Linked DNA regions of Xenopus tropicalis. The protein of the gene in region 2 interacts with the protein of the main gene of each other region in a biochemical or structural test. Links are inferred from orthologs where the notes say so. Each region holds a gene or a part of one and is shown on either strand. Other genes may lie near its edges.

Region 1 (8,326 bases), on a different chromosome or scaffold from region 2:
GCTGATTGGCTCAGATCCACATTCCTAAGGGCGGGGGAGTGAGTTCTTAGCATTCTTGAGGGAGGGGGGAGCAGGAGAGAGCAGGAAGCAGAGAGCTGCGTGTCTCTGGCAGAGGACAACAGACACAACTAATCTTTTTACAGAGAAGTCAGTGCAGTGTTTCTGTGAGTGCTTATGGCTGTATTTACATAGACCTTTCTGATAAAGCTTACTTAGTTCTTACCTTTCCTTCTCCTTTAAAGTTATATAATGTATCAGCCAGTACGACTGATTTAGGAGGGAATTCCAGAACTTCACAGCTCTCACAGTAAAAAATCCTTTCCAAATATTTAAACGGAACCTGCCTTCTTCTAAACGGAGTGGGTGCCCTCGTGTCCGTTGTTAGGACCTACTGGTAAATGAAGCTTTAGAGAGTTGTTTTATCATCCCCTTATATATTTATACAGTAATTATATCTCCCCATAAGCACCCTCTTCTCCAGTGCAAACAGACCCAACTTGGCCAGTCTTTCCCCATAACTGAGACTTTCCATACCCTTTACCAGCTTAGTTGCCCTTGTGCCTGGTGCAGGTTTGTTTATGTGCACTGTGAATCCTGTGAACCCAGGGGGGTGGCCCCTAATTAGTAAAATGGCAATTTCCTATTTAGGATCACCCAATAGTAAGAAATCCAAGTCCAGCTTGGGACTCCTCCAGTTACATGGGAGTAGGAGAAACAATAGGTTACCTGAAAGCAGTTCTAATGTGTAGCGCTGGCTCCTTCTGAAAGCTCAGACTCAGGCTCAATGCACCGAGATGGAGCCTACACACCTATATTACAGCTAAAAAATACATTTGTAGACAAGAAAAGGTACATATTCTTTAATACCTGTTTAAAAAGTATACTCAACTGCATTTAATCTCCTCCCTCCCTTCCCCCCTTTCCCCTCTCTTTTCCACCCCCCCCCCCCCACACTGTTATTAGTTTGGCCAATTAGGCCGCATAGATATCACAAATGAAAAATAGACAAATGCGGTTTAAGACAACTAATCTTTATTATATTTGGAAAACAAATGAATACATGTAATAAGCAAATACATGGTCTTTAAAAAGTTGAACATAATAAAAAATAAAGTAAAAAAAAATTCTTGGTTGAAGAATAAAATTTAAATGGTAGAGTGAATTATTTGCTATGTAAACAGTGTAATTTACGAATAAAAAGTATACCATAAAACTCATGACAGAATCATGACAGTGTGGTATATTTTCAAATTACATGGAAATAAAAGTAATGAGCAATTTTTTTAAAGTAGAAATCTGGCTTTTAAACAAAAATTTGTTAACACAAGACTCAAACCCTTTAATATACCTATTACTGTAACCTGTTTATGGAATAAATACCACTTTTAGGTGCTGAAATCCAACTGCAGAACAGTTCTTTTCTTTCTGCATCATTTCAAATCCTGGCAGGGGAGGAGGGACTAAAACATGATATTACAAATTGTAACAACTTCTCCACAGCATACAGACAGCATGCAGGAACCACATAACCCACAATGCATTGCGCTATGTTTGTTCTTTCCTTATTGACATCACATGTGCAGGGAACTGTGGGATTTGGCAGATGAAGGCTGAAGGCAGGAATTTGTTTTGAGCTTTAAAGTAGTCAGCCAGATCAGCAGAACAGGGGGTCGGGCTTACGTAACTGTTCCAAACCATATTATTACATTAAAAATCATGAAAAGTCTGCATATTTTGAAACAGCGTGGCCCGTTTTTCACTTAAGGTGAACATCTCATTTTAAGGAGAAAGAAAGGTAAAAACTAAGTAAGCTTTATCAGAAAGGTCTAAGTAAATACAGCCATAAGCACTCACAGAAGAGTGCTCAGAGAGTCCTCTATCAAAAGAAACACAGGATTTCTTGTCTGTTTGTTTTCCTGTGCCAGAGACACACAGCTCTCTCCTGCTCCCCCCTCCCTCAAGAATGCTAAGAACTTACTCCCCCCCTTAGGAATGTGGATCTGAGCCAATCCACAGGAAGCTGACTCATAGTCTTACTAACTGAGCATGTACACCGGTCTTGGTGCAGGAGCAAGGCATTATGGGAACTTTCTTTCATCTGAACAGGAGAAATATGGGGAGACTTAAGGGCACTATTGAGAGAACTGACGGTATGCCTGCACCTTGAGATTAACTCTTTATTAGCCTTTCCTTCTCCTTTAAACTGTTTATTACAGAATGAATAACTTGCATTAATAAATCAAAAGGTTTCTGCCAGCCATGCTACTACACAACTTTAGGCATTTGTTAAGTTTCAGTACCTAAATTTATTTATAAAGCGCCAACATATTCCGCAGCGCTGTACAATAAGTGGGTTTCATACATTGGACATACAGAGTAACATATAAAGCAATCAATAACCAATACAAGAGGTGAAGAGAGCCCTGCCCAAAAGAGCTTACAATCTACAAGGAGAAAGGGTTGAGAAAGATTTGAATGCAGTTGATGGGATGTTTGAATTGTATTGATTCATGGCTGTACTAATAAGTTTTTCAAATCGGTAATAAGGGAAAATGAACTAAATGTGAATTTGCGGATATGTATTATGGGCAGAATGTGCTCGTTAGAGATACTTGTCCCAGGGAATTATTTGTCCTTATAGGAATATTAGTTTAGGTTTGGAATTCTTCAGAACCACAGCAAGTAATTTGGGCTTCTATTCAACTGGAAGTGCAGGGTACAGAGGGCAAGTAAAGCTACTCTGTAGTTTCTAAAAGTGCCCATAACCTGGGAATATTTACTTGCCACCCAGTAATGGAACATCCTAATGATTCCTCCATCCATGGGGAATGACGTGTGATGAAACTTTTGTCATATCTTTGTTGTATTATCTGCAGGGTCATACACAGAGGCCCAAACAGCCCCCCCCCCCCCCCCAATAAATAGTGACTGTCTGTGGCACCTTACAGCCCCCTGGCATTCCCAGTACCCAGAGGCACAAACAGCCCCCCAGCCCAATAAATAGTGACTGTCTGTGGCACCTTACAGCAGCCCATCTGGCATTTGCCAGAACCCACTAACTGCCAGTTCAGCCCCAGATTCTTACAACAGATTCTGCCCCAGTACAGCCAATGTATTACTTTCCACACACCAGCCTTTCTGTTGCACCGCCCCCGATGACCCCCGGTAATTGGCAGGCTGCATCACCAATGAACACGCTGAGAGGGCGGAGTCTGCCCGAACCCCCTATTACCGCCCACCTCAGTTTCACAGCACACTCAATGTAGCTGTCTGTCTTAAACTAGAACCTGTATTTGAGCCTTTGCGCTGCCCTAAAAACGGCTGCAGGGGGAACTCCTCCGGTCACAGGCGTGGGTGTAGGGGGGAACTCCTCCGGTCACAGGCGTGGGTGTAGGGGGGACTCCAGGTTCTCTTTACATCTCTGCCACACAAAAACTTCTCCACAAATCGTATAACTCCTCCCATCTCTATGCGCACCGCCCCTTTTTACAGGCAACCACGTGACTCCGTCCTCCCTGTCACATGACCAGCTAGTAGGACAATGTGCAGCGGCAGCAGCAGTATCTGCCTGTCAGACCTTCCGGTATTGTTATGACCGAGTCGGTGTTCCATGAGCGGCAGCGGCTGGAGCTGTGCGCTGTCCATGCCCTCAATAACCTTCTGCAGAAACCGGAGTTCAGTCACCAGAGGGCTGAGGAGATCTGCCGGGGGTGAGAGACCAATGGGGCATGCTGGAATGTATAGGAGATAGGCTGTGTAAATACATCATCATTGTACTGTTCTGGCGGGGGAGATACAGTGGGGTTATAGGTTATGGTGAGAAGAGTAATGTATAGCCCTCATCCAGTAAAGGGACACTATGATGCTGTGGCTTGGTGTGTGTGGCTCTAAGGTACCTGGGAACATGGGGCACTTGAACTGTTTAGATTGTTAGCTCTGTTGATCAGGGCTCATTTTACCTCTTGTACTGGCCAGTCACTGTATGGAATCTGTGTGATTGTTGTATTCAGCAGCTGCCATAGAGCAGACCCAGATTGGTGTTTGCTGTTTATTAGTTCCCCTTGCCCCTTGCACTTTAAACTTAGTTGCCCCCTGGCGATTCATGCTAAGCCCCCCCCCATAGATTTACAGGGAGGGGACGCAGCGCAGTCATGGTACGCCAATACCCCTACCTGCTTTAAATTACTGGGTAATATCTTAGAGAATAAATATATATGTGTGTTAATAATAATTATGGTGCTGATTCATGGCTAGCTTATACCCTTATTATAACTGTCCAATGAGGGGTCATACTTGCAGCACAGAATTCTGGGAAATGTAGTTTAAAGTCAGTTGGAGGGGTGCAGTTTGGATACGAGAGATATGAATGTGATGGCACATAGGCCACTCTTAATAGTTCATCTGCCAAGAGTTAAATGCAAAACAATCCTGTATGGGGAGAGAGTATTGCTTGTCTTGCATTCCCAGCTCTGCCAAGTGGGTGCCTTAAAAGCTCTTGTCTCTGCCTGACACAGTGATCCTACTGTTACCCATTACACAGCTGCTGCTCGATAAATAAACAACAGTAATGCATGGAAGCCAAGGGCCCCTGGAGTACAAAGCTCTCAGAGTGGTGATTAATAATTAGTATGTACTTAGCCTGAATAGCACACTGCCTGAGATGGTTCCTCCCACTATGGTATAAGGCATGTATAAACGTGACTCAGATATTAAATATAGCCGGCTCTGTAATTAATCGCTTAGCTACCTATTTACACATTCTTTTCTCTGTGTCTCAGACTCGCTCCAAACTCTATGATTAACCCTCACCGCAGTCTTCTGGGTACCGGCAATTACGATGTCAACGTCATTATGGCAGCTCTTCAAACTATGGACTATGCAGCGGTTTGGTGGGACAAACGGAGGTAAGAGTAACATGTTGGCCATATTGGAACTAAAAGCATGAAAACTGAATAAAATGACTGTCTACTGGTAATGAAGTGACACGTGGCTACTTTTGTTGCTTAGCTTGTATACTTATGTCAGGGAGTTGCAATGGTATACACTAAAACTTCCTGTACAGCCTACTACAACATTTTACAAGTGTGTATTAAGGTGAGTGGCGGCAACAGACTTCATTAAAAGGGGTTGTTCGCCAACTTTTGTTGTATGTTATAAAATGACTACAGCTTTTCAGTTGGTCTTCATTATTTATTTTTTTTTATAGTTTTTTAATTATTTTGCATCCTCTTTAGACTCTTAACAGCTTTCAAATGGAGTCACTGACCCCTGCATCCATATAATTACTGCTCTGAGGCTTACATTTTATTTTTATTGTTACATTTTATATCTTATCTTTCTATTCAGGTTCTCTTCTATTCACGTTTCAGTCTCTCATTCAAACCACTTCCTGGTTGCTAAGGTAATTTGTACCCTAGAAACCAGATAGCTGCTGAAATACAAAGTGGAGAGCTGCAGAACAAAAAGTAAAATAACTAAAAAAAAATAAAAATACAAATAATAAAGAATGAAGACCAATTGCAGATTGTCTTAGAATAGCATTCTATGCTAAAAATTTACTCAAAGGTGGACAACCCCTTTAAAGAAATACTGACAGGTCCCTATGAAAATTTAGGACCATGTCAGTAATACTAAATAGTTGTGGCATGAAAGTCTGTATAGACATAAGTCCCCCAAAGCCACCCCAACTCAGTGATACCTGTTCATTACGCAGGGGACAGAGAGCAAAGGGAGACACAGGAGGTGGCTCAATCCTTCCATAGGCTAATTACAGATGAAAACAGCACTCCAGCCTATGGAAGGATCACACCACCCCAGGTCAGTGTGATTGACACAACTGCTGAGGATCCTTTTGCTGTGCTTAGGTAGGTGCCCCTGAGCTGGGGTGGCTTTGTGGCAGGACTGGACTGACAATATGTGGGTTCTGGCAAATGCCAGAGGGGCTGCTGTAAGATGCCATAGACAGTCACTATTTATTGGGCTGGTGGGGGGCTGTTCGAGCCTCTGTGTACTTGAAATGCCAGGACTAATTCTGAATCCCAGTTCAGACCTGCTTTGTGGGGCATTTGGCTTGCTAGATTTTTGCACCACAATACTGACACAGTCCTATGGATTTTCACAGGAACATGTCAGTGTTCCTTTAGGACAGGGGTCCCCAAGCTTTCTTACATGTCAGCCACAGTTAAATGTAAAAAGACTTGGAGAGCAACACAAGCACCATAAAAGTTCATGGAGGTGCCAAATAAGGGCTAAGATTGGCTATTAGGCAGCCTCTATACACACTATTAGCTTACAGGAGGATTTATTTGGTAGTAAATTTTTGTTTTTATTCAACCAAAACTTTCCACCAAGTCAGGAATTCAAAAATAACTACCTGGTTTGGGGGCACTGAGAGCAACATCCAAGGGGTTGGTGAGCAACATTTTTTCCCTCGAGCCACTGGTTGGGGATCACTGCTTTAGAATAACAAATGCCTCCATTTTTAGTATTTTGCACTTCTCACCCTGTCATTTGTAATGTCACTGGTGGGTTAAGGGCAGAAAAATGATTGTATAATGTAGACACTTATGGCTCACATCCCTGAAAAAATAAATTACATTTGCCAAAGAGGATGGCACATGAGGTTGACTTTCTTACCTCTTGATTAATATGTGAAATGATCCATAGAAATACCACATACAAAGTGCAGGGAAATCACAAAATGTAAAAAGAAACAGTTACAATTAGTGGGGGGGGGGGGGGGTCCTGTCTTTCTAGTCACTTACTTTAGAACAAGGGCCAACGCTTCCCTTGTTCCAAAGATGCCTGGGTCTTTTCCTCTGAGCACTGTGCTGCTATACTCTTCTGCTTTCCCAGCAGAAGAGGTTTCCCCAGGCTGGGGTCATAAGTGAGAGACTAGGAACACTGATGGGTTCTTAACAACTTTCCCTCCTGGTGATTCAACCTTTCCTTGTCTCTAAGCTCACTTGTCTCACTCAGCCAGTCCCTATTACTATAGAGTGCTATGGCAAGACATATGCTACACAAAAGTGACACCATTGCTGTGTGTGTGTTCGCTAGTGAGATGCATCTAAAAAGTCTAGTCATTATATTATACAATATTTTCTATAATTGCAACAAATGTCTAAGTCTTCTTGTTGGCTTTGAATGCAAGCATTCATTTCAGCTTCCTTAGCCCCTGTATTAGGGTTGTGCCTTCCTGGTTTCTTCCAATGCTTGGAGACAATTTGCGGCAAGGAGCTCTTTATAAACAAACCCCAGGCTTATCTAAGCTGCTGCCTTTGGTAGTGCATTAAAAGTGTGCCCCCTAGTGCTCACTTAGAAAGTAAATCTGCCCAGGGTCTGGCTGTGCTTTTCACCTTGTAACAGATAGAAAATCTGGCTTGAGATGCCGAATGTCAAGTTAGCAGGCATACAGCAGCTCTGTCCCTACTGCTTGCCATAAAGCAGGAGGTAAGTACAGGACCCCAAAATGGCTCGAGTGACTCACAAATTAGTAAGTACAGGGCCCCTATGTAGTTTGAATGATGGACAAGGAGCACAGAGACCTGCAGCGGATGGCTTCCATTTTTTTCACTTTGTGCCTCCCCTGAGAGATGGAGTTTCCTTCCAGTGCAGAGCTGAGTGAGACAGGGAGGCCCCATCTATGAGCGTAACGTGTTAGAACTAGATTTTAGTTTTTGCATTTTATTTTTTTTTTGTGCCTTAGAACAGTGAGACCCTTATTTCTATAAGACTTATGCTTCAGCACGCAAGGTAAAAACCTCCTCAGGAAATAAATAGCACAGCGGCAGCCTAGTGAATGAATAGTTATGATTCCAAGAAGGCGTCCCAATGAGCCCAGGCAGTCGGGTGCCAGGGAGTCTGCCGAGCCAGGCTGCTGGAGTGGATGGAAACTTTGTTTTTCGCTCTACCCATTGTATGGAAAATCATTTTGTTAACTCTTTTTGTGGAGCTTAAAATCAAGTTGAAACCTTGCAGAAGGACATTGTGTAATAGTTCAGATATGAAGCCTCGCATAGATCAGTAGCTGGTATACAAATGAGGCATTATTTATATATAGGTACCATGACATGTATCTTTACACAGATGAATTTGACTGTGACTTGCAGCCTTACCCAAGCCTTACCCGTTGTTGCTTATGGGATAAGGTTACAATTTGCCCCCTTTTCAACTGAAGACAGACAGAGGTCCCCCAGATGTTGTACAGATACAACTCTCAGCATTCCACTGTCCTTTGTAGTGAAAGGACAAGAAACTGTTTACATTAGGCCCCTGTAGAGGCCTCCCCCTGAACTGTACAACCCTCACTCCACAATAATGCCCC
Region 2 (7,712 bases):
TATATGCATAAAAGTACCCGTAGCCATTGTGTCATACTTGTGCGTGCACAGAAATCTGCTCTGTGTGCCTTCGGCTAAACAGATTCTTGGTGTGAATCAGCCCCGTTTGACATCAGCCTCATAGTTCCACCTTTTAATCCCCTCTTACATTGTCCAGAAAGTGCTTTTTTATCAGGAATATTTTGGACTGTTTTGCCTATGGGTTTCTGTTGGCTGAGCTGATGGCTGATGTGTGTGTAAGTGACACAGAATACAAAGGAATCCCCTGATAGCACAGATAAAGCAATGACTGATTGACTGGAGGTCTGGGAAAGCCAGAAGTTCCTTTATCTGCTAAATGGAAACACGGTTAAGCATAACCCATCCTGAACAAAGTTATCTGATACTGGCTGATAGATTCTGTGGGGAAAAAGGCAAACACTAATCTGTGAGCATTTATTGTCTCTTTCCCTTTTTTATGGTTGTGCTTTCCCAAACGCCAGCGCCACACCAGCCATTTGCACTTCCAGTGAAGAAAGCGGCAATTCCCTCCTGAGGGTGAAGACACACGGAGCTACTAGTAGCAGCTACTTTTTCACGGCTACTAAGGGCCCTGGTAGACGGGGAGATTAGTCGCCCGCAACAAATCTCCCTTGTTGCGGGCAACTAATCTCCCTGAAATGCCATCCCGCCAGTGAGAATGTAAATCGCCGGTGGGATGGCATGCCCGAAAACTAGACAAATAACTCGAAAACCATTTCAAATTTGTAACGACTGTATATTTTGCAAGTTGCTTAGAATTTTTATTAGGAAAAAAAATTGTATTTTGGGTTGACTTTTAAAATTAAATTCTACTGTGATTTAAGCAGCATTATTATAAGAGAATTTGCAGATGATTTTAAATTGTTAAGAAGATTTCAATAGATTTTTTTTGTTGTGACTGGCCCAGTGTGCAGATACCCGTGTCTGGGATGTTACTGGCTGCCTGGCGTACAAGTGAATTTGTTTGTGCACTCGTGTGTGGCTGCCGTCAAATTCATAATGGCCCATAGTGGAATAAAGCGCAAGCCTTTTGGTTTTCAGACGATTTGAAGTATGTTAAAATTAAAAGGAAAAAGTTGCTTGTAATTAAGGGTTCTCTTCCTTTTATCCTTCTGTGGGAACACCTAACCCAGCGCTCAGTTTGTTTTATTTTTTGGGGCCAAGATTTTTTTTTTTATAGTTCAGAATTTGGACTGATTCCCCCCCCCTTAGTTTATAACAAGTACAACAAGCCTGCTGTATGAGCTCTCTAGCCATACCTCCAAGAATATGTGCAACAAAAATATTCCATCCATATCTCACCTTAATTGACCTCCAAGCTGGGCTTTCAGGTTAATCTAGAAGAGCAAACAAGCGTTCTCCTCAGATTTTGCCTGAACTTGCTTTCCAGCTGAGCTCCCTCTCCCCATATTACTGCAAAGGGCCCATCTAGGGGGGTCTGCCCTAGAATTACTGTATGAAAACTATTGATAAGCAAAGAGTATTTCATTCTAGGTTGTGGACCTGCACGTGGCTTGCAATTGCACAATTAGCTAGGGACCGCTCATCTTCAGGCCTGATGGGAAGAACTGGCATGTTTTATTAGGGAAGGTTAAGTTAAGGTAGTTCTACACATGTATATGTCTCTTGGACAGGCCTACCCAACTGGTATCTGGACAAAAATTGGCCAGATGTTGATCGGGCAGGTTTAAAAATCACCTCGAGGCAAGGAGTGCATCAGTGCGTTGATGTGGTCCTTTCCCCAACAGCCTGTATCCTGGCAGTGTGATCTGATTGGTTTGCCTAAGGGCCAACTGGTCAGATCAATTCGATATCGCCCATCTCAAGGTGGAAAGATCTGCTCGTTTGGTGACCTTGGCAAACTAGCGTATCTCTCAGTGTATGGTCACGTTTAGTCTACTTGGCGCACCACCCACAAACAGAACTCTAAAATAAGGTATGTTTTCAATAGAAATGGGATATGAGTACTTGAAAGCTTTTTTCTTTTGGTTCCTAATGTTCAGGCTGCCAGTGTTTCTTTCCTGCAAATGTCTCCTCACCAAACCCGCTTTGTCCTTCATTCACTGCATGCCTGACATCACACAGAGTGTAGGGCCATCAAGTAGAGCGTTACTGCGCAAGTGCCAAATGAAGGACTAGACCCAACATTCTCACCTCTCACCAAATGCTATGAGGGGACTTTGCCTCATCAAAGCACTGTGCCACCAACTCAAGGGACCTCCCAACTTACCTCGCTAACCATTATATTAGGCTAGTGGGTGGCACTCTGTTTTTCCACTGGAGTAGATGTGTGTTCCACTGGCTTTATAGCTTATCCATTCTCGATTTTCCTTCATCGTAACTGCCCGTCTCTTGTCTAAATTCATATTGGCATCTGAAATTAGCTGGAATGGATTGCTTTCGGCAAGATTGCCATCTTTCCTCTTTGAAAATGGCACGCTACTGAAGATCTATTATTTTTTGTGTTATAGGTCCACTGCCAGACGGGTGGGAACAGGCACTGACTCCAGAAGGGGAAACATACTTCATAAATCATAAGAACAAAACCACATCTTGGCTAGACCCACGATTAGACCCACGTTTCGGTAAGGACCTTTTCACTTCTTCAATACATACAGTAACATCACTTTTATACATGATAAGATAGTTTCCCCTAAGCTTAAAGCTTTTTAGCCCACAAAACAGTACAATAGAAAGGAGACCATACCATACTGGTATCTATCCATTTGGTCATGCCTGGTTGTCCTATGGCACCAAATGACCCCTTATAATACTGCCTTTGTAGGAATCAGAAGGAATGATACACTTTGCACACTTTCTGTTACCTTTTAGATAGCCCTCTTTACCTTTACCCCCTGTATAAATATGTAGTGTGGGTGATGCATTTACCCGTCTGTTGTACAGCGCCATGGTTTTAGGCTTTTCCCACTATAATAAGGGGATAATAATACAATATAATGCTTCCATGGGTTGCCTGACAATCTGTTATGCCCATTCCCATGGCCATAAAGAAATTGGTTAATAATTGTGAGCTGCTGGGGCTTGCAAAGTTCCTGGGGGCTAGGGAATCTGTAATTCCAAGTTGATGATCTGACTGTGCTAGCCCAAGGGTATATTGTGTAATGTTTTCAGTGGAATATTTACAAAAACAGCCATTTTGAAAAGATGGGGGAGAAAGTGCCATTTTGCTGATTTCTCAAGCTAAATAGGAAGCACTGTTGCACCGGTGACACTTTGGCACCTACTAATATAGTAGAAATTGCACATATGCTTATTTCACCAGTGTGTACATATGCAGAATGGATTCCCTTATGTATTGTCGGCCATATACAGACCAGTTAAGCCCCCTGCAGTCTGCATTAGCCTGGCTGACCAATACCAGACAGGGTACAAAATCCCATAAGATGAAGAATGCATCTGCTTATAGATGTGATCCTTTTCCCAACTGGCTTGCATAGATCTCCATTGTGGTCCATTCATTGGTTTAGAGGTTGGACATATTGGAATTGCAAAGTCCTTTCTAGGTATCCCATAACTCTTTACCCATTGGAAAAACAATAGAGAAGCACCCTAGGGAACTCCCAGGTTAGACAGCTGTTATGTTATATGTACTTATAAAAATATAGAGAATTTTTAAGAGGTTCACAAGCTTTCAAGCACCACTGTAAGTGCATATTAACAAGTGCCCCAGCTCCCTCATCATGTGCATGTTTGTGGTGTAGGATGCATAGCAATCGCTGGGTTGGATTTCTTCCAAAAATATTATTTTTCCCCCATCTGTTCTTTTTATGTGATCGGTGTCCTTTTATCAGACTTTGGGTCTCAGTTGAGGATAAGTTTTGCAGATGTTAGGATATAAGACTAAAGGTGGCCAGAAACTATCCACTTGTTTGGTAAAGCGAGCGGATCTATTCCCCAATATGCCCACCTTGGGAGGGCAATATCATGCTAATGCAGTCGTTTGGCCCTAGGGCCAAACAATCGCATTATAATGAAGGGGATACGAGCAGTCAGAGGACCACATCAAAGAGCCAATGTCCTCGATCTAACAGGAGAATCAAGCCGGCCATTTATCTGTTCGGGAGACCTGTCGGAGGGCCCCATACACAGCAGGTAAGCTGTCGAATCGGTCTAAGGGTAAGAACCCACGATAGATCGCTGCTATTGCAAGTGAGTAACTGTTTCGAAAATGCTTTCTACTGGCAACAATAGAAGTCACCGATGGAAAGCCTTTTGCATCGCTTCATTTTCGAAAGTCGCGTAAAGTTGCCTGCAGGAGGAACCTTAGCGCAACTGGGATTACCAAAGCCATGGGAAGGGCCAGGTGGAAAGCCTTTTTGGAGCAGTTACTCACCCATGATAGCAGCGATCTATTGCAGGTGACTAACTTGCGTTGTGGGTTCTTACCCTAAAGGACTAGGATCGGCAGCTTTAATCTGCCCGCGTACGGCCACCTTTACAGAGACAGTGTTGTTTCCCATTAGTTTTACTCTAATTGTGGGAGCGTTGGTTCTCTAGACTAGGCCAACGCGGTGTACTTCAGCCCTGGCTATAAAAACACAGAAAAATGTTTATTGTATAATCAGTCTTTTGGTTTGAACTTAGCCCTACATCAGCACAAACAGAAACACCCTTATTCATCCACCCCAAATAAAGGGCAACAAAGCCAGTCACCATAGCAACTACCACACCACAAAAATATTTTGGTGCACAATGTGCTGAAACTGAATACAATTGAAGTGAAATGTAATCTAAATCAAATATATGCCGATAGACAGGTAGCACCGGAACCCAAAGATATGTAGAAATAGCTCTGTGAGTATCATTTCCAGTCCAACGATTTACTTAGCTCCCATAGTATTACAGACACACGTGTCAAAGCTTTTCCCCAAGGACACCCCACACAGAGCAGCGGTTGTGCAGTCAGGCAGTTCAGCCATATTGCTACATGTGACCCACGGAGTGGTTGCATTCTGTATTATAAGAGGTTTGGGGTACTGACGTTCTGCTAAGTTTTGAATAGTGCGATTCTGTGACCCTGCTCGGCAATGTGATGTGCTCTCTATGAAAGGACAATTGTTTATTGGGTCCTTGAATGTCAGAGTTTCAGTATCTTAAAGTATGAGTGGTATTTGTTGTGTTTGTGCAAGTGAAACCGGCCTAAATTCCTATTTGTCCATAACCAAGGTTTACTCTGAATAAGTAATATATTCTATTCTATATATATTCTATATATTAAATTCTATATCAAATGTTCTGTTCGTTCATTACTGGAACTATCTACTAAAGAGAAGTGATCTTGGCAGGTTAGCAGAATTAAGCTGGCCATGCACTCACTGATATTATCATACAAGGAGGTTTTGTACCATATTCAGTGCTTGTATGTTGGATCGATGAGACAAAAGCCTTGGATATCAGGTGGGACAAAATCTGCCTTTAGGGCTGAATCGTCAGATAGGGGTAGAATTCTTATTGTTTCTGATGATTCAGCCCTGAACATCATTGACGGTTCAGCCCTGAACCAGTGGTTGCAGGAAAGATCATAATTATTACGTATATGGCCACCTTAAGAAATCTAAAAGGCGCCAACCCATTAGTGATGTTAGAAACTTTGGTTTGCCCTTGGCAATGAGTGCGGGCAGTCATTGCTCATCAGTGATATCAATCAGTGATATCCAGTGCAGACCACTGTCCAGCAGTGTCTTTTAAGGATTACAAGATGGACAGATGTGTTTTGCAAGTTACCATTTTTGGACGATAATCAAGATCAACGTTTTCAGGTGATGTCCATTCAAGTGATTTCAAGGTACAATTTGAGTGTTTTGTCTCCTTTCCATTGAGCTACAGGATGTCAATAAAAAGTTTGGATTTGCCTTATGTGCCGTTGCTTCCCAATTTGGCTCTTCTGGAGGAGCTTGGAGCAGTGGGAGGGGGCTCGGTCTGAAGGCCACTTGGGATGAGGTTTGGGGAGTATGTCTTTTCTCACCTAGATACACCTAAAAGGTCAGTTAGGATAAAGGTGGCCATTCATGGGTCGATTTGAGCTGCTGATTCAGGCTCTTCAGACTAATTTGGCAGCTTATCTGCCCGTGTATAGGGATCCCCTCATGGGCTTACCCAAACAGTTTCTGGCCTAATTGATTCTGCTCATTAATGCAGTCCCCACTAAGATGGGTCCTATTCCTGTTAAGTTGTTGTAATTTCATTACTCCAATATCGCTTACCTTAGGTGGACATATCTGTGGAAAGATCCATGCCAAACAAGCAGATTTTTGTGTGCGGCTGCCTTAGGATTTGGGGTGAAAACTTGTTTTCTTGGAACAAGAAATGAGAACAATACCCCAATGTTCCTATATTTGTAACCTTGGTATGAGCTAATGGGACACTTGGATCGCCAAGAAGGGGCTTAGACTAAAAAAGGTCGGAAATCTCTGCCTTAAGGAAAATGCATGATTCCTTGCAATGATTTGTCACCTTAAATAAAAAAAAAAAAATCAAACATAAAATGTTTATATGCTGGGTGCATTTTCCATTTAAACTGTATCTTTAGCAATAGTCCCATTGGGTAGTGGTAAAGGTGATATTTTATCACAGAAGCTGGTTGGGCCCCAGCAGGCAAGGTGCCAGAACACTGATTTACAGCCATATAAATGGAAGTAGAGACAATGGAGAAATGACTGCAGTGTTCTTTTATTTTCTGCCTGACGTCCCACTGTTTGCCCTGTTTGTGGGAGGGGTAACCCGGGAACATTTAGGGCTGAAAAGGAAAAAAGAAGTCAAATTACCTTAAATAAGAGGCTTGGCTTTATGTGATCATCGGTTCTCTCCCCCGAGCGTCTCATTTTGTCTTGCCCTTAATTGCTGTTTGTTGAAGGTTAATTATCATTGCTGGGCAGAAATGTGCTTAAATATAAAAGGGCAGATTGTTTACGGTAAGCTTTAATTGGAAACTTGTCTTTATTTTGGAAACGTAATCTTGCCCTACCCCCATTTTCTGATCCCCCTGGATGGGACAAAGCATTTGTTGTTTGTCTGCTTGTGAGGTCTTAGCTGCCTCGGCCTCAGACTCCGGTGCTCGAAACCAGCAAATCTTACTCGTGACTCTTAAATTAGGGGGCTCCCTACATATTAATGATTGAGGGTAATTTGTTATGTGCACAGAAATGGTCACTCTAACGGTCAGATACTTTCCTATGGAGCAGAACAATTAACAGCCTACTGGGCAAAATCTAGCGGCACACTGGGCAACAATACAGGGGTAATACAGTGAGGTCTATGGAGAGCCATTACATGGACCCCATAAACCTGCCTGACCTAGAGACCTGCTGTCAGTGGGCCCCATACTTGGGCCAGTCTGGAGGGGATATGTATGGGCAACTTTACTCAGCCAAGGAGCAACAGTCAGTCTTTGTACATCCCTTAAAATAGAATTACTTAAGGTGGCCATACACGGGCCGGTTGTAGCTGCCGATATCTGTCCCTTACACAGATTCGGCAGCTTATGGGCCGTGTAGGGGCAAGAAAGAGGGGCATGCCCGACCGATATCTGGCCTGAAATTGGCCAGATATCGATAGGGCAGGTTAAAAGATTTAATCGGATCGGGGGCCAAACGATCGAATTCGCCTATATTTTCCCCGATATCGCCCACCCGTAGGTGGTGATATAGGGAAAAGATCTGCTCACTTGGCAG
Region 3 (8,230 bases), on a different chromosome or scaffold from region 2:
CAAATACCCAGTGACTAATGAAAGTTTAACAACCCTGGAATTTATATTTAAATAACGGCATTAGTTTAAATATAAACCAATGAAATCTAATGGGTGGAAATGGATTGGCTGTTGGTGGCTCCGCCCACTTGTTCTAACCCGGAATATGTAGTCAGCCAGTGACTGACTGTGCAAAGTTTGGGAACCCTGACATAAATAGTGTGAGAAAGGCAGCATTTTAAATTTAAACCAAAAAAAAAGTCAATAGTTGAAGTCTGATTGGCTGTTGGTGGCTCCACCCACTTTTTAAAACCTGAAAATGCAGTCCCCTAGTGACCCCGGTGTTAATACTGTGAGAATAGCAGGACGTTGAAATCTGATTGGCTGTTGGTGGCTCTGGCCACTTTTTCAAAACTAAAACAGGAGTCCCCTAGTGACAAACTGAGAAAAGTTTGGGGACCCTGGGGTTAATACTGCGAGAATGGCAGCAGGTTGAATTTCCCCATTGAAAGTCAATAGGTCAAATCTGATTGGCTGTTGGTGGCTCTGCCCATATTTAAAAAAAAAAACAAAAAAACTTGAATGCGTAGTCACCCAGTGACTGACTTTGCAAAGTTTGGGAGCCCTGGCATCAAATCAATAAAAATCAATAGGTGAAATCTGACTGGCTGTTGGTGGCTCCACCCACTTTACAAAACTAAAACTGCAGTCCCCTAGTGACCAACTGGGAAAAGTTTGGGGACCCTGGGATTAATACTGGTTGGATTTCCCCATTGAAAGTCAATAGGTAAAATCTGATTGGCTGTTGGTGGCTCAGCCCACTTTTCTAACCTTGATTTGCAGTTACCTGGTGCCTAACCCTGCAAAGTTTGGGGACCCCGGCGTTATTACTGTGAGAATGGCAGCAGGTTGGATTTCCACCAAGTTAATAGGTAAAATCTGATTGGCTGTTCACAGCCCCGCCCACTTTTGGGCATCCAACAATCATCATATTTGCATTCAGGCTGAGCCCATGACTGTGTGATTCAAGTTTGGGGAGTGTAGCCTCAAAGCTGTAAGTGTGGCAGCAATTTCCCCATAAAAGTCAGTGGGTGAAATTTGATTGGCTGTTGCTGGCCCCTCCTACTTTGGGGGTCATCCAACAAATGTCCCTGTTTCATTCGGGGTGACCCCATTATTATGTTATTCAAGTTTGTCGGGTGTAGCTTCAAATCTGTAAGTGTGGCAGCAGTTTGAATATCTTCCCTGTCAAAGTCAATGGGAAAATTGGGGGGTTCGGAGCGGCGCCACAAAAAGACAGGGGGCGGGATCACTTAGAAAAGCACAAGCAACCTGCTCCGCTATAGGGCGAAGATGTGTGGGGAGTTTGGGTGTTGTACCTCTAAAATTGTAGGAGGAGGAGTGTTTAGAAAATGGGGGGCGCTAAGAAGAAGAAGCGAAAGAATCAGCTGAAGGGGAAGAACAGTCTGTGGGGTTTCAGCCCAACACAATAAGTTAAGAGCCAAAGACACAAGAGGATGGAGGTCCCTGCCCTGTAGAGCTTACAATCTATATGGGAGGGTAAGAGCCAAAGACATAAGAGGATGGAGGTCCCTGCCCCGTAGAGCTTACAATCTATATGGGAGGGTAAGAGCCAAAGACACAAGAGGATGGAGGTCCCTGCCCCGTAGAGCTTACAATCTATATGGGAGGGTAAGAGCCAAAGACACAAGAGGATGGAGGTCCCTGCCCCGTAGAGCTTACAATCTATATGGGAGGGTAAGAGCCAAAGACACAAGAGGATGGAGGTCCCTGCCCTGTAGAGCTTACAATCTATATGGGAGGGTAAGAGCCAAAGACATAAGAGGATGGAGGTCCCTGCCCCGTAGAGCTTACAATCTATATGGGAGGGTAAGAGCCAAAGGCACAAGAGGATGGAGGTCCCTGCCCCGTAGAGCTTACAATCTATATGGGAGGGTAAGAGCCAAAGACACAAGAGGATGGAGGTCCCTGCCCCGTAGAGCTTACAATCTATATGGGAGGGTAAGAGTCAAAGACACAAGAGGATGGAGGTCCCTGCCCCGTAGAGCTTACAATCTATATGGGAGGGTAAGAGCCAAAGACACAAGAGGATGGAGGTCCCTGCCCCGTAGAGCTTACAATCTATATGGGAGGGTAAGAGCCAAAGACACAAGAGGATGGAGGTCCCTGCCCCGTAGAGCTTACAATCTATATGGGGGGGTAAGAGTCAAAGACACAAGAGGATGGAGGTCCCTGCCCCGTAGAGCTTACAATCTATATGGGAGGGTAAGAGTCAAAGGCACAAGAGGATGGAGGTCCCTGCCCCGTAGAGCTTACAATCTATATGGGAGGGTAAGAGTCAAAGGCACAAGAGGATGGAGGTCCCTGCCCTGTAGAGCTTACAATCTATATGGGAGGGTAAGAGCCAAAGACACAAGAGGATGGAGGTCCCTGCCCCGTAGAGCTTACAATCTATATGGGAGGGTAAGAGCCAAAGACACAAGAGGATGGAGGTCCCTGCCCCGTAGAGCTTACAATCTATATGGGAGGGTAAGAGCCAAAGACACAAGAGGATGGAGGTCCCTGCCCCGTAGAGCTTACAATCTATATGGGAGGGTAAGAGCCAAAGACACAAGAGGATGGAGGTCCCTGCCCCGTAGAGCTTACAATCTATATGGGAGGGTAAGAGTCAAAGACACAAGAGGATGGAGGTCCCTGCCCCGTAGAGCTTACAATCTATATGGGAGGGTAAGAGTCAAAGGCACAAGAGGATGGAGGTCCCTGCCCCGTAGAGCTTACAATCTATATGGGAGGGTAAGAGTCAAAGACACAAGAAGATGGAGGTCCCTGCCCCGTAGAGCTTACAATCTATATGGGAGGGTAAGAATCAAAGGCACAAGAGGATGGAGGTCCCTGCCCCGTAGAGCTTACAATCTATATGGGAGGGTAAGAGCCAAAGACACAAGAGGATGGAGGTCCCTGCCCCGTAGAGCTTACAATCTATATGGGAGGGTAAGAGCCAAACACACAAGAGGATGGAGGTCCCTGCCCCGTAGAGCTTACAATCTATATGGGAGGGTAAGAGCCAAACACACAAGAGGATGGAGGTCCCTGCCCCGTAGAGCTTACAATCTATATGGGAACTTACAGACACAAATAAGTATAAATGCCATAGGTCACAGTGGGCGACACTACAATAGAAGTGCTAGTTTCATATAATGCAACGTTGCCTGACAGTGTAAGTTTCAAGGCACCTCCCCCAGGCTAATACCCACATTCCCTTCAATACAGTGCCTGTATACACTCCCATAAGATTGCTAGCGGCGCGGTTCCCTGTATTTACTCCTGAGCAGCCCCCTCACAGCCCCCATTCTAGTGACTGGTCCGAGTGGGCGGGGCCGGGGATATCCTTTCCTTTCGTGCAGTTCCTGATAGCACCCCTCCCACACAGTATAGTGAAGCCAAAGCAGCCAGAGAGATCCCTTCCACCAATCATCTGACAACTTTATCGCAAACTGACAGAATGAAAAAAAACAAAAATGCAAACAGGGCTGTAAAGTAACAGAGGCCAATCGTGGGAGCCAGTACAGTAACCAATGAAGAGCGAACCCCAAAAACACCAATGACTGTCCGCCTTACATTTGCAACTTCAGGAACTTGCCTTTGGTTTCGAGTTTGCTCGGCAGAGGGAGGCTTGTGCATGGCCAATCCCTGCTGCTGTGCCAGCCCCACGGCTTGTGAGGAATCCCTAACGCCTTTCTGGGAGAATTCAGCCCGCTGACCCCCTGCCGCCTTTTAACATGACCACTGCCAGACTGGAAAGAAAAAGTGAAGGCACCAGAAAAATAAGGTAGAGCCCTTTTTATTGGTGGATTTTGCAATGCTTGAACTGTGTTTATTTCCTAAAAGTGCGTTAATACTGTAGCTGCATGTAGCTGTGTCCCGCAGTGCAAGTGGCCTGCAGCCGGTCGCAGCTGGGGCTGTCACTGCGCTTGTTGCACTCAGAGGTCGGCTTCCCCGCCTGCGGCTGTCACTGCACTTGTTGCACTCAGGGATCAGCTTTCGCTGCAGCTGTGCTTGTGCGACCGAGCGACTGTCAGCCTGCAGCAAACCGCCTGGCAAAGAACCCGTACAAAATGTCATTCTCAGTCGCTTTCCAATATACATTCAGTAAACGTTGTCAAGTGGTTTCAAAGTCAATTGTACAAAATGTCATTTTCTATCAAAAGCAGTATCTGCCCACTTCTGTTCCCTGCACTGTTGGTTGCGACTTCTGCTTTCAGTTGCAGTAAATTGCACGCTTTCAGTTGACTTTGCGACTGTCGTAATTGTGTCTGGAACTGCATTCTTTTTCATTATGCAAAGAACAGTTTTTGGGTGGAGGAAGACTTTTATGTTGCAGTGCTTGCCAGGTCATGCCCATTCTAACACATACTGTGGCATTATATATATATATATATACTGAATCAAACACAACCAGCACCAAGGGTCTTGTGGTTCAGATAAATATTAGTGTATTATAATTGCATGTACAACCGACGTTTCAGTCCCTTTTGGGACCTTTTTCAAGTTATTCTGTGCACAGGGACAGCAGTCTTTGGAGTGTGGTGCTGTTGCGTGGACTCTCATATTATATATATATATACACCCTGTTTCCCCAAAATAAGACACTGTCTTATATTTTTTTAAGCTACAAAATATGCACTAGGTCTTATTTTCGGGGGGTGCCTTATTTTTCGAGGGGGGTGAAAAATCAGGGGGGTGCCTTACTTTCGGAGGATGTCCTATTTTCGGGGAAACAGGGGTATATATATATGTATGTATAACTTTATTTATAAAGCGCCACAAGTGTACGCAGCGCTGTACAATCTTACAGAATACAAAATTACACACAGGGAGGACAAGTGATATAATAAATAAATAGAGTAAATATATATATATATATATATATATATATATATAAGTGCCATGTGGTATGAGACACAGTGGGAAGGAGGTCCCTGCCCCGTAGAGCTTACAATTATATATATATATAATACGTCCACAGAAAGCACTCACAGCAATCAAACTTCAAAAGATAGTCCTTTATTCAGTGCCCATCAACGCATTTCGATCCTCATAGGATGGTTGGTCAGCACCTGGCTAATGTCTTTAGAATGTATGTATTTAATGTATATAAATGTTTGTACAGGTATAGGACCCGTTATCCAGAATGCTCGGGCCCTGGGGTTTTCCGCATAAGGGGTCTTTCCATAATTCTGATCTTTTACCTTAAGTCTGCTAATAGAATTATTTAAACAGTAATTAAACACAATAGAATTGTTTTGGCTCCAGTAAGGATTAACTAGATTTTAGTTGGGATCAAGTACAAGCTGCTGTTTAATTATTGGAGAGAAAAAGGAAATCATTTTTAAAAATGTGAATTATTTGATTGAAATGGAGTCTATAGGAGATGGCCTTTCCGTAATTCGGAACTTTCTAAATAATGGGTTTCCAGATAAGGGGTCTGATACCTGTATATAATATATATAATCCACTGGAAGGGGCACTCAGTCCTGTTCTGCCCAAGTGCCGTTGAATGCAATACCTTGTACATTATATATATATATATAGTACACAGAGAGGAGCACACCCTATACAAGTCCAAATGCCCTTGGTGCAGGTCAAAACCAAAAATATAATAGAAAGAGTGCCGCGCACACAGGGGCTTGATACAAAATAAAACATTTTTAATGAAAAATTTCAACGTTTCAAACTCGAAACGTTGGAATTTTTTCAATAAAACCTTTTTCTTTTGTATCAAGCCCCTGTGTGCGCAACACTCTTTCTATTATAGAAAGAGTTGCTGTCATAGGGAACATAGATTATTACAGCAGATAACAGACTTTATGATTCAGTGAAAAATCCAACATCTGTTTGAATGCAGTGCTTTCTGTTGTCAGCAAGAGCTGGAGGACCCCAGGTTGGATATTACTGATGTTTAAATGAAATACTGATGAATTGTTTTCACATTTGATTTGATGTTGTAACTGGGTAACTAAGTAAATTTATTTTAGGGTCCCCTAAACTTTCAGAATATTTTAATGAAACTGCTTGTCATAGTACAGGTATGGGACCTGTTATCCAGAATGCTCGGGACCTGGGGTTTTCCAGATAATGGATCTTTCCGTAATTTGGATCTCCATAACTTAAGTCTGCTAAAAATCATTTAAATATTAAATAAACCCAATAGGATTGATCTGCCCCCAATAAGGATTAATTATATCTTAGTTGGGATCAAGTACAGGTACTGTTTTATTATTACAGAGAAAAGGGAATCATTTAACCATTAAATAAACCCAATAGGACTGTTCTGCCCCCAATAAGGGGTAATTATATCTTAGTTGGGATCAAGTACAGGTACTGTTTTATTATTACAGAGAAAAGAAAATCATTTAACCATGAAATAAACCCAATAGGGCTGATCTGCCCCCAATAAGGGGTAATTATACCTTAGTTGGGATCAAGTACAGGTACTGTTTTATTATTACAGAGAAAAGGGAATCATTTAACCATGAAATAAACCCAATAGGATTGTTCTGCCCCCAATAAGGGGTAATTATATCTTAGTTGGGATCAAGTTCAGGTACTGTTTTATTATTACAGAGAAAAGAAAATCATTTAACCATGAAATAAACCCAATAGGGCTGATCTGCCCCCAATAAGGGGTAATTATATCTTAGTTGGGATCAAGTACAGGTACTGTTTTATTATTACAGAGAAAAGGGAATCATTTAACCATGAAATAAACCCAATAGGACTGTTCTGCCCCCAATAAGGGGTAATTATATCTTAGTTGGGATCAAGTACAGGAATCATTTTTAAACATTTGAATTATTTGCTTATAATGGAGTCTATGGCAGATGGCGTTTCCGTAATTCTGAACTTTCTGGATAAAGGGTTTCCGGATAAGGAATCCCATACCTGTATAAGGGAAGATGAGTGAAAATATGGGTAACTGAAAGAACTCAGAATTCTCCAGGGATTTGGCTGTATTTACCATTGTGTCTGTGTGTTCTTTCAGTCGGTAAACATAGCAACGTATATTTAAGGATGTTACTGAAATCCTATTGGCCCGTGTCTGGATGACAAAATAAAGCCTGCAAGTTCATATATGCAGTTTATTTTCAAATTTTTCAACGTTCCATTGTTTGTTTTTCTCCAAAGACAGAAAAACAGCAACATACACAGGCCAATCCTGTCAGGTTGCACAAATACAAGAGATTGTCTATATGTTTGAAGAGTGTCACCTGTGTATAATTGTTCTGTGCCATTTTGACAAACACTATTAGTATATTTCTAATTAAAATTGCTGGAAGCAGGACGGCTGCCATACTGGTTACACAAGAATTTAGATTTTAACTCATTTAGGGAAAGGCTGTTTAAGGCAATTGCTGGCTGTTTCAGGTGTGTGTTTTGTTTTCTTAATCCCTAAATACAGATTATTTGGGCAGAGGTTTTCAACTGAAAGTCTCATCAGTTTTTTTTTTATTTTTTCAACAAATTCTTTCTTTGTTAATGAAAATGGCATCATGTGATAAGTACAGGTATGGGACCTGTTATGCAGAATGCTTGGGACCTGGGGTTTTCCGGATAAGAGATCTTTCCGTAATTTGGATCTCCATAATTTAAGTTTGCTAAACATCATTTAAATATTGAATAAACGCAATAGGCTTGTTTTGCTCCCAATAAGGGGTAATTATATCTTAGTTGGGATCAAGTACAGGTACTGTTTTATTATTACAGAGAAAAGGGAATCATTTAACCATTAAATAAACCCAATAGGGCTGTTCTGCCCCCAATAAGGGGTAATTATATCTTAGTTGGGATCAAGTACAGGTACTGTTTTATTATTACAGAGAAAAGGGAATCATTTAACCATTAAATAAACCCAATAGGGCTGTTCTGCCCCAATAAGGGGTAATTATATCTTAGTTGGGATCAAGTACAGGTACTGTTTTATTATTACAGAGAAAAGGGAATCATTTAAACATTAAATAAACCCTATAGGACTGTTCTGCCCCCAATAAGGGGTAATTATATCTTAGTTGGGATCAAGTACAGGTACAGTTTTATTATTACAGAGAAAAGGGAATCATTTAACCATTAAATAAACCCAATAGGGCTGTTCTGCCCCCAATAAGGGGTAATTATATCTTAGTTGGGATCAAGTACAGGTACTGTTTTATTATTACAGAGAAAAAGGAAATCA
Region 4 (8,182 bases), on a different chromosome or scaffold from region 2:
TTCAGTGATGTAACTAGATGTTACGTGGCCCCACAGCAAATTCAATTTAGGGTCCTAAAATATTGGTAAGTAGACTTATTTAACCAAGATATATTGAAATTGCTTATTAATTAGGTCCTCATTGGGCCCCCTACACCAAGTAGCCAAGTAGTGGTTCCTTGAAACCATGTGCTTGTGTTTATCACATATTTTTTGTAGTTGTTGTAATGAATTTACAGCTTCCCAAAAGGAACTCTTTAATGCAGATTATCTATTGCAGTTCTACCCCCATATATAAGTGATGCTGAGTACAAGAGCAACATGTGTTTATGTGTAGACTGCTTTTATTTTTTTTTGCCAGGGTTGATTTTTACTCCCCATCTGGCCCTGGGAATGAGCCCACAAATCAGACTGACATAGCTGCCATTTCCTGCTTTCTATCTGCCTCCAATTGCAGTCTGCTCAGTACTTTAGAAGTGACTGAGGCTTGTCTCTTGTCACTCCCCCTGTGTCCTAATTCCCACAATTAAGGAAAGAGCTGTAACAGATACCAAATATTGCCCATGTGACACAAAAATTTAACTACTATGCAACATTTAGAGATCCACCATGCAGCTGAGCTCTAACACCTCACTAAAAAGAATGACTGTCTTCTCAAAGCTCTTAAACACATCTAACCAATTTGCCACATTCATCTTTATTATTATTAACATTTATAAAGCGCCAACATATTCCGCAGCGCTGTACAATAAGTGGGTTTCATACACTGGACATACAGAGTAACATATAAAGCAATCAATAACCGATACAAGAGGTGAAGAGGGCCCTGCCCAAAAGAGCTTACAATCTACAAGAAGAAAGGGTTGAGACATCCTGTTTAGAGTTGGACTGTCCCACTGGGAAACAGGAAAAAATTCCATTGGTCCTGCCCACTCCTGTGGAGGGCCCTGCTGACTACCTGTTGCCCGCATGAAACTGTTTTTTCTTTTGGAATGCATTGAAAAAAAATCAGGATGATCATGTATTTCGCTGTTGAATGCATTTACATTTTTTTGGAAGAAGATTCAGCTATACAGGAGGCAGAACTAGGCAAGTAGCATTGGAAGACTAAGAGAGAGGAAAAATTTGTTGTATTCTGTCTATGAAGATTTTCATTCATCCAGGTCATGGTATATCAAGTATAAATAAATCTAAAGCAACTGGACTTGTTAGGTAATCATTGAAGACGTTTCACTACTCATCCGAGCAGCTTCTTCAATTCAACTGACTGGTATGGGAAGTCCTCAGCATATGTACTCTTCCACTAACCCAATTACAATGGCACTATGTAACTCTTCAGAGAGGTAACATATGAGGACTTCCCATACCAGTCAGTTGAACTGAAGAAGCTGCTCGGATGAGTAGTGAAACGTCTTCAATGATTACCTAACAAGTCCAGTTGCTTTAGATTTATTTATACTAGATATTTGTTGTATTCTGTTTCTGTGGGGGAGGTAATGCTTTTTATTTATCCCTTTTCTGCTGTTACCTTACTGGCATGTCTGGGGTTAATGTGCTCATTGTCTGCAGTGATCTAACTGTCATGTCTGGGGTTAATAAGCTCATTACCCATTTTCCTTTGCAAAGAGCCTAAAAATGTTAGCCATATTTTGTTGAGACACCCATTCTCACCCTGGTACACAGTGAGGGATTGGAGGAAGTGAAAAAACTGTGAGAGGTTGTGGTGGAAGGTGTATTTGGTGGGCCCCTGGGGGGAAGTTCTCTTGTGGGCCCCAGTCCGACACTGGTCACACACAGAGGAAAGTTAACTGCCTCCTGATATAACAATGATATTGTGTGTAAGACTGGGACCTTAGATTGTAAGCTCCACTGGGGCAAGGACTGATAAAGAATAATAATCATTATAATATGACCACAGTCCGTCAGTGAAAACATAAAAAATCATCTTTGGCTGTTTGTTGGAGTGCTGGAAGTTGTAGATCCATAACAACCGGCTGGAATAATACTAAGAAACGCAAACATCTTAATAACAATATGCCCTTGTACTTTCACTAACCACATTTTGTAACCAAGGGATTTGCATCAGGCTATGGGCACAGGGCAAAAGCTCCCTCTGCACTACCCTACCCTAAAACCAGCCATCCATTTCTAATTTATCATCTCTCTTGCAATGGCACCAGCGCCATACCCCTTTAAAAGCAGATGCCTATTAAAGGAACAGTAACACCAAAAAATTGTGTTTTATGTAGTTAAAATATAATGTACTGTTGCCCTGCACTGGTAAACATTGTTTTGGCTGCAGTTACACTACTATAGTTTATATAAATAGGCTGCTGTGTAGCCATGGAAAAGGGAGAAAAGGCACAGGTTACATAGCAGATAACGGATAAGCTTTTTTTTAGGGGCTGATTTACTAATCCACGATTCCGAATGGGAAAAAATCGGATTGGAAACAAACATTTTGCGACTTTTTAGTATTTTTTGCAATTTTTTGTCACCGTCGCGACTTTTTAGTAGCCGTTACGACTTGCGCGAATTGTCGCAACTTTTTCATAGCCATGATGACTTTCGTGAATTGTCGCGACTTTTTTGTATTGAGCGCTCGAAAATACCGATCATTACGGAAAAAAACGCATTCGAATGCTTTTCAGACATTTGTGGATTGGTAAATGTGCCCCTTAGTGTTTTATCTGTTATCTGCTATGTAACCTGTGTCTTTTCGCCTCTGAAATGGCTGCCCCCATGGTTACACAGCAGCTTTGTTTATATAAACCAGCGTTTTTCAACCACTGTTCCGCGGCACACTAGTGAGATGTTGCCTGGTGTGCCGTAGGCAGGGCACCAATGTACTAGGGGGGCACTGCTCTTGGCACCAATGTACTAGGGGGGCACTGCTGCTGGGCACCAATGTACTAGGGGGGCACTGCTCTTGGCACCAATGTACTAGGGGGGCACTGCTGCTGGGCACCAATGTACTAGGGGGGCACTGCTGCTGGGCACCAATGCTGCTGGGCACCAATGTACTAGGGGGGCACTGCTGCTGGGCACCAATGTACTAGGGGGGCACTGCTGCTGGGCACCAATGTACTAGGGGGGCACTGCTGCTGGGCACCAATGTACTAGGGGGGCACTGCTGCTGGGCACAGAGTTAAATTTTTTAACATTTTCTAATGGTGGTGTGCCTCGTGATTTTTTTCATGAAACAAGTGTGCCTTTGCCCAAAAAAGGTTGAAAAACACTGATATAAACCATAGTAGTCTTTCTGAGGCAAACACACCAGTTGTACTAGTGCAGGGCAACAGTTTAATTTAATTAAACTTTAATTTTTTTTTTGGTGTTACTGTCCCTTTAAATGCACATTCTGCATAGCTAAGAAGGTAGTGGGGGCTGATGGGAGCTGTAGTTCTGTGACAGATAGGCTGCCTATCCTTGCCTACATGGGAAAGAGGCAGGGTGAGATAAGATAGAGAGAAATCTGGAAACCACTCATCAGGCTGGAGGGACTAGATTCCCACACAGGGAATGAGAAGGACGAGCTCAGGTTATTACATGGGGCGGGACTAGCAGAGGGAAAGTATCTGCCCCAGACAATGGAGGAGGAGAAATGAAAGGGAAGAAGGGAAGGACCGGGCTGGAATAGGAGGAGCCGAGGCACATCGAGTCTCAGGCGAACAAAGAGCCGGAGCTCGGGTGCAGTGCCAGGGACTGGCTGAAGAAGGGCTTCCAGTGGCAGTGCCGGCTCCAGGCCCTTGTTGCTGGCTATGAGCAGGGGGCGGTGTAGGAGCGCAGAGCTCTTAGGTTGCTGGGAATAGGAAATGGAGGAGGGGAAGAGAGCCTGAGACAGCTGACCCCCTCCCTCCATCTTCGGGTACCCCATGGCTGGCAGGCCCCGGCTCTGAGTCGTGCTACTTCCTACAGACATGGCCGCTGCCATCAGCTACAGCCCACCGTGGTGGGTCAACCTGCTGCACCGGCTCCCCCACCTCAACCTTCAGTGGGAGAGTCTGACTGGGGATTTCCGCCCACAGGACCCTGACTACCAGCAGGTGAGGCAACGGGGGATCTCATGTGGCACCTTGGTATGGGGGTGTCTGCCAAATCTACTATTGCTGTTCATTAGTAATATGAGTGTTCTACCGAAAAGTATATGCTGCAAATAAATTCTCTAGACTTTAGTGAAACCAATTATGGTCCCATATGACTTGCTACTGGTGGTTACAAATGCTTAAATGCAAACAGCAAAGGTATTCCGCTTGGCTTTCTTATTTACAATGAACAGTTTCTGTTTACTTGTACTCTGGGGACCTCAAGCTGTTGATTTGGCAGTAGCTGTAAAAGAATTGTGTGAGTTGTAGTTCAGCAGGTGTTGCAGAGCGTAATCATTTTGCTGTGGACTGCTGTAATGTAATGACGTTACCCAACACTCAAGATGATCTGTATAAATGTGGCTAAGTTCCTGTGCTATCCTGGGCTGAAATGTGGCCATGAAATGAAGTGATAATGTTACATTGGGCTGCAATACCAGGAACTTCCCTGTATGGTGATATTGTGTCTGCCATGTAAATAAATCTTCTGCTTGAGCCTGAGGATGCATTGCTGTGCTTGTCTCCAGCACGTTAGCAGCCGCTGGGAATGCCCTACATTTTTATTATTATTCTTTATATAGTGCTGACCTATTCTGCAGCCATTTATAGAGATTATACACATTTCCCATCAGTGAAATACACAAGTGGATCTTATAATCTAAGCACCCTATCACATTCACACACCCTATGGTTAGTTTTATAAGGAGCGGAAACCCACAGAGACATAGGAAGAAAGTCCCGGACTGCAAAGGTGCTGCCCTTATCAAGCATAGCCAGCATGTGGCCCTGGAGGTGTAGTGTATTTGTAACTTCCACTATTTCTTGACCTTACCTGTAGGCTAATGAAGGATTCTGGGAGTTGTAGTTCATAGACAGCTAAGAGGGCTTATGGTTAGACATTTTCTGCAAATGCCTGAGCCAAATCTAATATAAATAGCTGTTGTTTAGAAAAGCTTCTTTTTACAATTAAAGATTCCAGCCTTACCCTTTGTGTCAGTCACATATACTGCATTTCCTCATACTATATGTTGTGTAGCCCTTCTTTTTTAATTTTTTTTCTGTACCCTGGAACTGCAAAATAAAGCTGTTACATTTGTGTGGAAAAATGGCCACCCTTGTACTTGTTTGCAGCCTGGATTCCTGAATCCTAGAAGGCTGCCCTTGCTTATCCTGTGCCTCCCGTTCACAATTCCTGGATTGCTCATATGAAGCCTTTAGCCATTTTTTGTTTTTGCCTTAGAAACTACAGTTCACAGTTGCTACATTTGTGTGGCAATTTACAGCTGTGTGTTACGTTTGTTCCTTCCTGTGATTCCTTTCTGCGCCTAAATCTAAAGGGTTAATAGAAGCAGGCCATTCTATCCTTTGGAAATGAGTAGTGCCCTAAATTATGTGCCACTTGGGGCCTGCACCTCACTGCTCTGCTGTCTGCTTCTACATATTTCTGGCAACAAATGGCTTGTGGAATTCTGATTATCCAGCAGTGACACATAAGAAGCCGTGCAGTAAATTTCAGCCCCATTTAACACTTTGCGGATAAACAAGTAACAAATCTGTAGAGTCAGATTTTATGAAAAGTGATTTTTTTCCCTTTACCTGACATGCACAAATCATTATCAAGGTAATTATATGGTAGCAGAGCAAGGCCAGGCATTGTGTGGACACGAGACATGCCAAAGCACTTAGCACTTTTGTTCACAAACCATAAAATTACTGGGTTTGGTAAATGTGGTGTGATACATTTGTTTACAGACTTTACAATGTGGACTTGCATACTGTAATATCAAGGAATTGTGTCTTATCTCTTCTCTACTGCCAAACAATGTGTTTGAGGTCCTGTTTTGTATGGGACACTTTATTTTGTAATTGTGTGTGTTGCTTGTCTGAATTTGTGTGACCATCACATTTTACTGTGTTGGCATATTCCCCATGGTTTGTTATTGATTATTGGAGTGTAGTCCCATTTGTGTGCCATGCAATTTTCCTTTTTCGGCTAGTATGACTTTTATGATCTCAGCTTTCGTTTGAAGTCAAGTGTTCGGTGTTTAAAAAGTGTTTTAAATACATTTTGTTCCAGAAAGCAGCAGTTTAACCAACTTGAGTGCCAGTGTGGACTTGTGTTGCAGCAGCTATAGCGTTTATGTATACAAAATCTATTGCAGTAAAGGGAGTAAGCTACAAAGAATAGAAAAATCTGTATAGAAATTTCCTGTATTATTGCTTTTTATTCATTTATGTGCAGGACAAAACTAAATAAACATCAAGTACAAACCTATACATAGCATTGGTATTGCATCCTGTGCTAAAAAAGGTGCAAGCCCTTACTACCACTGTTTTTATACTGTATTATTATTAATAACATTTATTTACAAAGCGCCAACATATTCCGCAGCGCTGTACAATAAGTATACTGTATAACTGTATAGTGTAGGTCCACACTAGGATTCAGACTAGGCCCTGGCATTTCAAATACACAGAGGCCCAAACAACCCCCACCAGCACAATAAATAGTGACTGTCTATAGCATCTTACAGCAGCCCCTCTGGCATTTGCCAGAATCCGGAGATTTCGAGTTCAGCCCTGCTGTATAACCAGAACCAGACACCAGACAAATTCAATAATGTAATCAAGGGAATTGGCAACTGCAACTGGCTTGCCTGTGCTAAGGCAGGGGGACATAGTTATGTTACTGTGTAGCATACAGGGAATCTGTGTTACTTTGTAGCATAAGGAGAATACCTAATCACAAGGGCAGCAAAAACACCAATGAATAACTATTCATATGTTTGACGAACAAGAAATGGTGACCTCATACTTAAATGTTAATTTCAGGAAATATAAATGCAACATAAATGAACTTTATACCCTCTTGGATAAGAAAAAAGCCTTATACCCTTTTGGTAAACAATTCTTGTAAAGTCATGGGCTCTGATTGGCCTGCCTCTTCTGCATTTAGATATGCAACCTTGGCAACTCTTATGGCCTGGCACGCATTAAAAATACGCTTGTACCCCCATGAGCAATGTGGGATTTTATTTTAACATGTTAAATCAAAATTATCAGCAGGTCCAAAGCCATAAATGTCTAATGAGTCTTTAGTTGTGCCTTAGGTTAATGACATAAGATTTTTCTGGTAAAAGTCAAAGAACATTGGAATAGTTTTACCTTATATAAATTCGGAGCCCCCACAGCCAACTTTTTCTCTCCTGCATGCAAGTGTATGCCTTGGGGACTGGCCAATTCAGCATGTCCTAATCTGAAAATTGCTGCTGCTAAATTGGGACATTCTGGGAACCTTTGTGTGCCCAAGGCCGTTTTTTGCATGCATGTGAGGCTGTGGAAAACTATTGTTGTTTGTGCTTTCTCAGATACAAAAGTAATTTATGGGCTGCAAACTGCCCCCGGCCCTTAACCTGTTTGGCAAGTGCTTAGGCTAATGCCACACAGAGCGTAGGTAGCATATGCCCCGGCAAACATTTCCATGCTGCCTACGTTACGTGTGGCATTAGCCTTAGATACCATAATAAGTGATTTAGATTTAGATTTTTTTTTTAGATAAAATTGTCATTAATCTGTGAGATCTGGAGATGTGAATTACATCATGGAGACATGCTCATGCTGAGGCAATGCCTGTATGATTATGAAGCAGACAGGTTGTGGGCCTTCTGCCTCTTTTAAAACAGTAGCAGCTACTATTAATGATTCAAACATTAATGCCTGTATATTAGCCTTTATGCATTAGCCCTTATTAGATGCTATGACCTTTCAGCCACAACTCCTTCCTAGATACATGTATGTGTGGATGACCTATATGGAGTATGGAGACTGCTAGGGATTTTAGCATGTTATTCAAAAAGAATGGTATTTAAAATTAACTAAGATAGGATGCATTGCTATTTATTGCAACACTAGCTGTCTTGCCCTGCATTATATCTAGTTTGGAGTAATGACACACAGGTTTTTTTGGAGTGTTTTGTAGCACCATGAGTGGTGCCATTTCATGCAGCCTAAGCTCAACACTAAATGGCTTTGAGTGCTTATTGAGTACACTGGACACTTTCTGGTAATTACCGTTTAAGGCAGAGAGGCAAAACAATTTAAATCGTCCTTTGTCTTTA

Evidence for each region.
Region 1: of the proteins of yap1 (region 2) and josd2, one has a biochemical effect on the other in vitro, tested with the Homo sapiens proteins (2 studies listed by BioGRID). The link is inferred for Xenopus tropicalis from reciprocal best matches to the Homo sapiens genes YAP1 and JOSD2.
Region 3: the proteins of yap1 (region 2) and trerf1 interact in a test that uses a peptide from one of them, tested with the Homo sapiens proteins (2 studies listed by BioGRID and IntAct, with this or other methods). The link is inferred for Xenopus tropicalis from reciprocal best matches to the Homo sapiens genes YAP1 and TRERF1.
Region 4: the proteins of yap1 (region 2) and ttyh3 interact in a test that uses a peptide from one of them, tested with the Homo sapiens proteins (2 studies listed by BioGRID and IntAct, with this or other methods). The link is inferred for Xenopus tropicalis from reciprocal best matches to the Homo sapiens genes YAP1 and TTYH3.

The regions. Positions count from the first base shown.
Region 1 is NC_030680.2:128,295,280-128,303,605, reverse strand, and holds the start of josd2 (josephin-2), read left to right. Parts: upstream 1-3,549; 5' UTR 3,550-3,591; coding exon 3,592-3,710; intron 3,711-4,778; coding exon 4,779-4,904; intron 4,905-8,326. UniProt on the Homo sapiens protein: Cleaves 'Lys-63'-linked poly-ubiquitin chains, and with lesser efficiency 'Lys-48'-linked poly-ubiquitin chains (in vitro). May act as a deubiquitinating enzyme.
Region 2 is NC_030678.2:162,270,884-162,278,595, reverse strand, and holds part of yap1 (transcriptional coactivator YAP1), read left to right. Parts: intron 1-2,492; coding exon 2,493-2,606; intron 2,607-7,712. UniProt on the Homo sapiens protein: Transcriptional regulator with dual roles as a coactivator and corepressor. Critical downstream regulatory target in the Hippo signaling pathway, crucial for organ size control and tumor suppression by restricting proliferation and promoting apoptosis.
Region 3 is NC_030681.2:15,167,820-15,176,049, reverse strand, and holds the start of trerf1 (transcriptional-regulating factor 1), read left to right. Parts: upstream 1-3,453; 5' UTR 3,454-3,829; intron 3,830-8,230.
Region 4 is NC_030685.2:31,668,483-31,676,664, reverse strand, and holds the start of ttyh3 (protein tweety homolog 3), read left to right. Parts: upstream 1-3,405; 5' UTR 3,406-3,899; coding exon 3,900-4,025; intron 4,026-8,182. UniProt on the Homo sapiens protein: Calcium-independent, swelling-dependent volume-regulated anion channel (VRAC-swell) which plays a pivotal role in the process of regulatory volume decrease (RVD) in the brain through the efflux of anions like chloride and organic osmolytes like glutamate.